Arabidopsis thaliana: one gene and its partner. The protein of the gene in region 1 interacts with the protein of each later gene in a pairwise test. Each region holds a gene or a part of one and is shown on either strand. Other genes may lie near its edges.

What was found.
Region 2: the proteins of DJ1A (region 1) and CSD1 interact in a protein complementation assay, tested with the Arabidopsis thaliana proteins (one study listed by BioGRID).

The regions. Positions count from the first base shown.
Region 1 is NC_003074.8:5,045,403-5,050,632, reverse strand, and holds DJ1A (Class I glutamine amidotransferase-like superfamily protein), read right to left. Parts: upstream 3,258-5,230; 5' UTR 3,124-3,257; coding exon 3,103-3,123; exon of another isoform or gene 3,101-3,102; intron 3,045-3,100; exon of another isoform or gene 2,999-3,044; coding exon 2,798-2,998; intron 2,524-2,797; coding exon 2,374-2,523; intron 2,280-2,373; coding exon 2,094-2,279; intron 2,003-2,093; coding exon 1,922-2,002; intron 1,756-1,921; coding exon 1,555-1,755; intron 1,440-1,554; coding exon 1,299-1,439; intron 1,210-1,298; coding exon 1,012-1,209; 3' UTR 662-1,011; downstream 1-661. Other genes in the region: RIP1 (cobalt ion binding protein), read right to left, coding at 1-312. UniProt on the Arabidopsis thaliana protein: Involved in oxidative stress response. Confers protection against diverse stresses by binding both CSD1 and GPX2 and mediating the cytosolic activation of the Cu-Zn-dependent superoxide dismutase activity of CSD1.
Region 2 is NC_003070.9:2,825,162-2,830,049, reverse strand, and holds CSD1 (copper/zinc superoxide dismutase 1), read right to left. Parts: upstream 2,991-4,888; 5' UTR 2,859-2,990; intron 2,371-2,858; 5' UTR 2,351-2,370; coding exon 2,275-2,350; intron 2,179-2,274; coding exon 2,077-2,178; intron 1,945-2,076; coding exon 1,849-1,944; intron 1,671-1,848; coding exon 1,639-1,670; intron 1,545-1,638; coding exon 1,469-1,544; intron 1,298-1,468; coding exon 1,244-1,297; intron 1,020-1,243; coding exon 997-1,019; 3' UTR 735-996; downstream 1-734. Other genes in the region: emb2411 (DNA replication helicase), read left to right, coding at 1-46, 140-259, 346-471. UniProt on the Arabidopsis thaliana protein: Destroys radicals which are normally produced within the cells and which are toxic to biological systems.

The DNA of each region.
Region 1 (5,230 bases):
CACGACGACAAGCCAGTGCTCGAAATCGCAACCATCGAGCAGGATCGTCTCCTTAGGTGGCCTGTTCGACCAGTTGGGATTCGGGTCGTTCAGAGAAGACGATGTAGCCTGCGTCGAGAGACCTTTGACAGACACAAGGCCGCCACGGAAAACGGAGGAAAAAGCGGCGACCAGAGGACGGGACCGGCTGAGCAGAGAAGACGCCGGAGATTTGGCGAGAGGAGCAGATGAAGCAAAGGATCGCGTGAACAGAAACGAAAGAGATTTCGCCGGTCGGCAAAGAATGGATCGAGAAATGGTATGCGTCGCCATGGAAGCTCTAGATTGGGCTTCGCAGATAAAACCCTAGGAGAGAGTGTGAAAACAGATGAGCTAGAAATGAAATCAAGGGTTTTATGAGGGTTTAATAGTAGATTATGAGTCGAGGGCATTTTAGGTATTTCATAACTGAACTGGACAGCGAAATCTACGGTACTACCCCCTGATCTTATCAGATTCAACAAAATTGCCCCTATTTTACCTTAAGTTACAAATAAACACATTTTCGCCAAGAAATTAGTGACATTACTCTGTTTTCAAATGATAAAAAAGCTATTTTTATACAAGAAGAGAAGACTGAAGATTTTATTTTCACTAAATTGGTAATAATCATATTATTAAATGGTTTACAAATATGAAATATTCCAAAGCTAAACATAGGGGCAAATTCGTATTTTAGAGTTATTGTAAGGTCAATTTGGTGAAAATGTGTGACTAAAATATCTTTCTCCATAAAATAATTTTTTTCTCCAGCACACCCTCTAGCTCTTGCAGAGGTTTAAAGAAAATATCGGCAACATACATAGAAAAATCTCGTTTATTCATTTATAAAGGCATAAAGTTACACACCAATCACTAAGCCAAGCTCATATGTCATATATCATAAAGTAAGTAATTACTAATGGAGAGAGATAACTAAAAGGCAAAGCCTTCTTTTTATTCAAGCCACTCTCATACTTTCATTGTTTGAAATCACACAAGTGTTGCCTTTCCGAGCTGAAGAGCTTTCTCTCGCCCGTAAAACTTTTCGACAATGGCAAGTGAAAACTCCATTGCAGTCCCTGGAGCTCTGCTTGTTATGACATTTCCATCTACCACGACTCTGTGCTCAATGTGACTCTTGTCCGAAAGTTTGTCGCTCACCACTGGGTGAGTAGTAGCCTTCTTACCCTATACAAAACATGTCTCTTATATCTCAGTTTAATGACTTAAAAGATAGAACAAGAAACTACAATTCTAGTACTGTTTGATTTATGCACCTTGAGTAAACCATTAGGCTCGAAGACGTAAGCAGGCGATGCGCAGATTCCTCCATATGGTTTGTTTGCTTCTGCCTGTTTCCTTAACATATTAACTAGCTTCTCGCAGCTTGCGAATCTTTGAGCACCGTTAAGACCGCCCTGTAGTTCATCAAAGAAGTTGGATTATGTTTTTGGTTATTTGTCATCATAGAATATTAAAATTTAATTTAAGACTAAATAGTATATTCACATTTTGGAAGTTAGCAATACTCACAGGTAACACAATCAGATCAAACGACTTCTCTGCAACCTCATCAAGAAGAACTTCTGCTACTAGCTTAGCTTTGCGAGATCCTTCAACTTCCAAACTGTTACCAACTGCAGCAATCACTACATTTGCTTTTGCCCGCCTCAGGATATCTACAAGCGCTATAGCTTCAATTTCCTCTGACTCCTCTGCAATGGGTACGAGAATCTGAAAAGGGAAAACATTATCTCTCTGACTCATAAAAGACTATTGATCAAGAAAGACAAAAGCTTTACAACACAGCATGTTCCTAGGAATCTGTATAACGGATCAAACAAAGCCTGTCTTGGAAAAATGTTAAAAGGGCCAAGTGGAGAGGCAACTGAACATTTACCTGTGGTGTATCTTCAAATGACCAGTTTGTTTGGTTAAGCTCAGTAAAAGTAAACTCCTCACCAGGGTTAGGACGAAGCAGCTGATTTCAAAAGGATAACAAGTAAGTCTACGAGGAGGTGACATGAACACGTACCACAGCGGTTGATAAAAGAGGCAGAGACAAAACATACCAAGATACTGGAGACTTCATCAGCTTTTTCTTTCCCAAACAACTGCTCTATAAGCGTGATGGAGAATTCAATGGTGGTTCCTGGTCCACGACTGGTCACTATTCTTCCATCAATTTGCACTCTTGACTCAACAGCAGTTGCACAAGTAGCCGCAAGTTTCTCCATAAAAACAGGGTAACCCGTTGCCTGCAAGAAACCCCATGTAATAACAAGACATTACAAGGCCTGAAAAAAAGATAAATAAACGCCCTTGGAAATATACTGATCACTTCTGACTTACTTTCTTGCCTTCTAGTAGACCCCAAGTACCAAGAGCCAAGGCAGGAGCACAACATATAGCTGCGTTAAGTCGGCCATCAGAGTCTTGTTTCTTGACCATGTTCTCTAAAGATTTACAGTTTTTAAGAGTCTCGCCACCGGGAAGCCCTCCCTTTTCCCAATCATATCAAAAAGTATATCAGCAACACAATTATGAAATCTTTCAGAAAACAAGAATCTATGAAGTTGTTTCAGAGAACAAAAGTTGCAACAGATACATCTAAAAACCATCGTTCTTAGTAGGAACTATAAACATCACTTTCGAAACTTTAGTTAAGTGAGCTAATTGATAATTGATCGATCCACTTATTGGCTGTCCTTAGTTCTTAGATTACACACAAAGAAACAAAACAAATGGACAATGTTAAATCAGCAGAGAGACTTACGGGGAGCACAATAAGGTCGAAAACAGAGTCGGTAATATCAGAGAGAAGAGTATCAGCGACCATCTTGATGCCATGACAAGCATCAACGCCAACCTGAGTCTCAACAGACGCCACCGTCACGTCAGCACCACCTCGACGCAACACGGTAATCATCGCCACCGCTTCTAGAGGCTCCGTACCGTGCGCAATAGGGATCAAAACCTAAAAGAGACGCCAAAAAACCTTGGATTAATAATCACAAAAAAAAATCGTTACGTACGAGGAGGGAAAAAAGTATGATCTCGGGATCGTGAAACCCCACACACCGTTTTCGTAAATGAAGCCATAGTTGCGGAGATTAGAGAAACGATGGTCGAGTCAAGAAGAAAGAGAAATGGAGTGTAGTGGAGAAGAAAGGAGTGTCACTAATGGGGTTAAAATAGTAGGAAAGACTCAGTGACGAAGCCATTTACGACTTTCCTTTTTATCACTTTAACCAAAAGAAGATAGACGTGTGCGATGACGTAAGCATAAAGAAAAAGAAACTCGACGATACGTGTCGAACATTCATTGGTGGAACGTGGCGAAAGCTTCTTTTGAGTCTTTCCACGTCATTGTATTGGATAAAATCAGAAAAAGCCACTTTGGTTTCGGTAAACTAAGACGGCGTGAAGTTGGCGAGAAAAAAGTATTACAACAACGACATCACGTCCTGGTTCTTAATTTTGTGGAAGCACGTGTTGTCGTTTTTGATACATGTACTTTGTAGTAGAGTAAACCGGACGAACTTCTGAAGAGATGTTTTGTTAATTTTGTAGCGTTCCAATAATTTATGGGCTTTATATGGGAGTGTTAACCGGTCGAAAAAGTACTCCTACCCTTTCAAATAGCTATTAACGCGAAATTTGAAACTACTAGTTAAACTTAACCAAATATGATCCCATAAATATGATATATATACACGGTAAACTAATTAAGAGACTGTTCAGATGGTTTTTGGATGAATCGGTGTATTCAAATTAACACAAACACACACATTTTTCAAAATGGACAGCCTGAAATCATGATTTTTGTTATGATCTCTAATTTCTAACCCAACATGCAACAAACAATAAATGATCAATACCCATTATCCGGTCCAAAGTGTTTTTAACAAACTTAACGTTTTAGATATAATCCAAGGATGTGTGTCAAAATTCACTTATATTGTAATAGACGAAATTAAACTAGATTAAATCACATGTTTGTGTGTTTTAACCATGTTTGATGGCTTCGTTGGGTCCAACATATTCCATTCACAATTAGGATGAAGAAGAATGTCTCAATACAGAAAGCCAAATATAAAGCAAAACACGTGGCTCATGCATTAGCTTCGCAAGCGAGCCGAATTATTTGTTATTGACTTATGTGGATCAAAATTAGCAAATGAGGTCTACCATCTACCCTTTTAAAAAAGAATCGTTTCTTTTTAACCATAGTTAAACCTTAAAAATGAAAAAAGTATCTAGAATTGATCCCCTCTAAATATTTTTTTTTTTAAAAACAAATACTTTCACATAACACAGTCGTTTTCATCGTACTGGTACATGTACTTTTTGGAATTTTCATATATCAAAATCGAATAAGAAGAAACAAAGATTCAGAGCCGTATTCCTATATATAGTTAATACAAAACATGCAATAACTAATCTGTTCACACAACAAAATAGGTTAAAATACGACTTATGTCCATCATCGCATGCACCTATTTGATAGTACAGTATTTGTTATCGTTAAGACACGTAAAGATTCCCCGCGCAAATTACAAAGCATCCAATCCACTTAACAGATATTGATTATACATATTAAGACAAAACCTGTTACAATCGGTGATGACTGAATTTTAAAGGACAAAAACATAAGCTGAAATGATTTAAAACGACAACAGAAGAACAGTTAGAAACCTGGCAATTAAATATGCTAACCTTTTTTTTCATTTTAGTTTGTCTGTTATTTTTGTCAGAACAGTTTTTGTCTGTGGCGAATTTAGTAAAAAAAAACTTTGTCAAGAACTTAAAACCATAGTCATTAATATTGGCTTATAGTGATACGATCGTCATTAACAGGATTAAGAATTTGATAACAGAAGAAAAAAACGACGAATATTTGGGTTTTAATTTGTGTAATTAAACGAATTTAAGTACTCCATATACTATAACTGCTGGTCCGTTGTTATCAGAGAGGAGACAGAATCTTAAGGTGAAAAATGAAGAATGACTTTTTCAGTATAACGAAGGAAAAATAAAATAAAAACACGAAGATGCCTTTTTGGTGACAGCACACAATTTATAGAAAAGAAAAAAAGAAAAAAAACGAGAAGAGAAAGAAATAGCCAATAATAAGTATACACACACTGTGCACAACAAAGTGATAGAGGCAGATTCAGAGAGGTGAAAAAAAGTTCGTCAGAATTTA
Region 2 (4,888 bases), on another chromosome or scaffold:
CATTCCGACAACTCCTGTGGAGATACATACTATTGACAAATATCAGGTTTGCCTCTAGGACCTACCGTTCTTCTTTTCATGACTATCTTGATTTGGCAAGTGCTCGATAACCAACGTTTGATGAGCTCACATTTTGTAGGGAAGAGATAAAGACTGCATATTGGTATCTTTTGTGAGATCGCGAGAGAAACCAAGGAGCTCTGCTTCTTCACTGCTCGGAGATTGGCATAGGATCAACGTTGCTTTGACACGAGCAAAGGTGAGACTGAGAGAACAACTGATGTGGTGTTGAGTAATGTTGTTTATTCCATCGATCATTGATTGAAATTTGTTTGGGTTTGACAGAAAAAGCTGATAATGGTGGGATCACAAAGAACACTCTCAAGAGTTCCACTTCTGATGCTTCTTCTAAACAAGGTTAAGGAGCAGTCAGGTATCTTGAATCTGTTGCCGGGAGATTTAAAACCATAACAACTCATCAAGAAACGTTTCAAATATCACAATTTTAACTTGTATCTCCATTTTTGTCCAAAAGGAATGATAATGTATAATCGATTTACTTTCCGAGTCTGAATTTGTTGATAAGAAAGAAATCAGGAGAGCATGAATCACTTGCATAATGACATGTAACAGAAAAGCGGAGATATTGTAATGATGGAGAAGTTTCATTTGAAGGTTAGCTCAGTTAACGTTATGACAGTAGATTTTGAACGAACAAAGAAGTTTGTGTTTGTAAAAACATTCGCATATTGAAGTACCATATCCAGGACTCTTGTTACCTTTAAGAACTTATAACAGTAAATCAACTCTTTTTTATTCATGAAATAATAAAAGTACGGAATTTTCTCTGTTTTCTGTCTGAATTAAAAATGCTTTGAGCCACACTAAGCTCATAGGTTTTTAGCCACACACCAGAAGATACACACAACTACCAAACCCAGGTCTAAGGTTGGACCTCCTTATTACATCAATCTCTTCTTTGGAAACGTAGCAGCTTTAGCCCTGGAGACCAATGATGCCTGCGAAGTCATAGACAAAAGGTCAATCAGTTTGATAATTTTACCATTCAGTTGGACCCCCAAAATGCAAGATAATAATAGTCAATAGATAAACCAAGATGAACCCCGAGTTACCAGAGAATCAATGGAGTCTAAGGTGACAATGATGGTAATGATCAAGATTAAATAGAATATACATGGTTTTCACAGGAGATGTGAGAAAAATGTAATTTTGTTTTACTTACCGCAAGCAACACGGCCGCCTGCGTTTCCAGTAGCCAGGCTGAGTTCATGGCCTCCTGAAATGTAAAACACCAATGACACTAGGTTATAAACTGTTCTTAGGATGGATGTTGAATCATAAGCATTCTACATTGGATGCCCTCAAACGGACTGGCTAACTTTTAAATTCTGTTAGCATAATATGGGTAAATAAAATCTCAAGAAAATAAATGGTCAAAGGTCATTACCCTTTCCGAGGTCATCAGGGTCTGCATGGACAACAACAGCCCTACCAACAATAGAGTTTGGTCCAGTAAGAGGAATCTGTTAAGCCAACACAAAATGTATCTTAAGAGATTGGTTCACTACAGCAGGTTTGGATTAGGAAAAAAGCATAAAAAGGTACACAGCTATAAACCTGGCAATCAGTGATTGTGAAGGTGGCAGTTCCTGAGAAAAGCAAAACAAAAGCTTTTATGTAAATCCATGAACACTACCGCTGGTCAAAGGTGACAACTGTACTATACAACTAAGACTGCAAAATCAAATTTGAGAGAGTAGCGAAATTTGATGCAAAACAGCTCTAAATAAGCTTGAGATGAGGGATACAAATGTTGAGAAGGCATACCATCATCTCCAACAGTGATGTTTCCTAGATCACCAGCATGTCGATTAGCATCCTCAGGGGCACCGTGTGTTTTACCATCGGGGTTGAAATGTGGACCTAAAATAGGAATTTAATAACAAGTTCAGTTACTTTTGGCGATAATTAAAGTTCCCAATACGAAACATAAATATAAGCTCCAAAAGTTTCTAATCCATTGAAAATTTGCAGAGAGGTATGCATAAGAGTTACCAGTAGACATGCAACCGTTAGTGGTGTCACCAAGAGCATGGACATGGAAACCATGAAGACCAGGCTTAAGGCCAGAAACTGTTCCACTCACAGTGGTCACACCTGCAAAAAACCCAAACAAAGAACTCAATCATTTGAGAGGAAGGAAAAAAAAGATAGGCTTCAAAGATCTTATAAAGCACTCTTATAAAGAACTACCATCGCCTTCCTGGGTGAAAAAGATAGTCCCCGTAACACCCTCACTGCTGTTCAAAACTGCAACTCCTTTCGCCATTGTTACTTGGCCTTTGTGATCTGTAAAAACATAAACATAAACCAATACATATACAAATAAGTAAAGATCCAGAAAAAAACAAATGGTTCTACACAACATTAAATTAGCTCAACAGACAAGAAACAGAATTTGAAAACCCAAAAACATCAATCTCAACTAAGCTTTAATACGCACCAAAACATAGATCCTAATCCCATTATAAGAACACATATACCAGATATTCAACGATCTAAGCCATAATAACTCTTACTAGTTCACATAAAAAGGTCAAGGCATCTTCAGAAGAGTGTGATACATCCAAAGAAAACAAGCAAAGGAATCGGTAGATCCGCCGATCATAAATCGAAAAAAACATTTCCTCAAAGATCTATACGTAGATTCGGCGGAGTTGGAATCGGAAAAGTTCGAAATCAGCACAGACGAGGACAAGAATCGATTTAAGAATCCAAAGTGAAGAATCGATCTAAGATTTGAAACAAATTAAAACCAAAAAGGAAAGCAAACATACCTCAGGAAACCCCTTTGGAAAGAATCAAGTGCTTGAGCTATCAAAAATGCTGAATTTTCTCTCTGAATGTTTTTGCTTCGTCTCTCTTTGGTTACTTGTTTTCTATATAGCCCACGAGGTCCAAAAGCTGGGTAGGTACGTACGTGATTAGCATTAATTTATTTCTTACTTGAAAAAAGCCACGTCAGGATAATCCAAGATAGACTTTTCCTAAGTTTGACTCTTCTCTGCTGATGTGGTAAAATTTGATTGGATAAATACTGTAAAACATTAAGTTTAAGTCATCGTCATTGAATTTAAATTACGTATGTCGTATAATTATTTCTAAGACGTTGGCTCAATTATAAATTTCATAAAATCTTAAGAACTAATTTTAACAAAATACAGAAAATATCATTTGTATTTTTAATAATATAATCTATAAACATATATATATATATTTATGAGAGTCTGTCAAATTTGTATGTAGCTAATTTCTTTGGAGAAGAAGAAGGGAACCTTTGATGGATTTGTAATGTTAGACTATATATGCCTATCTAGATGCATGCATCTCCTAATTAACCTAGCTAGCTACAAGAGGTTAAAGATAATGGATGATCACCTATAAGTCTAGAACGTTGATATATAAACTCTGTTATGCGTATTATATCAAAATTTTGGCATATTATTCTCTTTGCAGGTGACATGATATTTGTATGTTGTTTATACACTAGAAAAAAATATTGTGATTTTGTTCCACTTCCAACCATCAGAGGCACTATTTATGCGTTCCCAAATTGTTATCTCCATAACAAATACCTGATTGTTTTACGACTATAACAGCCAATGTATATAAAAGACTTAAAAACTAAAATAGGCTGCATGGTCAGTGATTGCGCTTAAGAAGTTTTTAGTCATATTTTTTGTTTTGTCGTTCCGTATAAATTTTGGCTTTAAGAAAAAGACAGTGACTTTTCACCCAAAAAAAAAAAAAATACTTCTTAATGTTTTGAGATATTAGTAATTGCCAATCAGTGAGTGTAGTTATTTTCATTATGTTCATTTTAGCTTGTTAAAGAAATTAATATAGGATATTAAGCCGAAAGTGGATGATGCTCTTGAATTGAAGTTAAAAACAGTCTGCTTATCAAATCTTAAAAATCATGCATAACGTGGGTGCTATCACTGAGTTTAAATCTGATACAGACTGATTCAACCATTTGGAAGCTAATGGAGGAGCGGCCGGCTATAAGCTCTCCCCAACACAACACACACAAAGATTGCAACATGATATATAAGTTATAGGCAGCCAATGAAGCCAATGGATAAATCATAGAAACACCTGAAACGTAAGAGGTAGCTGGACAGAGATTACAAACCGATCCAGACTGAGAGATTCAATATGGAAATATAGGAGATTTGTGAATGTTAGAATAAGATTATGTTTTCTATGCATCGACATATTACAAAGTAGAAAGATATTTTGGGCCAAATTACCAAATCTCTATGAGAGTATAATTAGGATTACGTATTCAAATCTCGCCTTTGTGGAAAGCGAGAGAGATGAATGGGAAAAGCAAAAGATAGGAAAGAAATTAAAAGGGAAGCAAAAGAAGTTGGTGATCCGAATCAGAATCACGCGTGTAATCCTCTCAAAGCATTCATATTACACTCATTGAAAAAAGAAAAAAAGGTACATATTCACAATCACATATATATATTATTTCTGGCATCTAACGTCGAATGTAATCTCACTTAATTTTTTGTTTTTTACGATAATTGTTACAAAAGTATCGAAAAATAGTCGTCAGAAATTATAGTTTACTAAATTGCTGTTAGGTACAACAGATATTCACCATCTCTGAATCTCAGTACCATACTTTTTCTTAAAAAAAAATTCAATTTTAATGTGTTTGAACACATTAATACATTTCCATACTTGGCCTTCACTAAGATTAGTTTTTGCACTTCTCTCTTTCTCTCGATCGCTGCTTCTTCGTCGCTCAATCTCAAGCTCCGTTCCGTTAGTTCTTCGTCGGAGAGACGGTAAG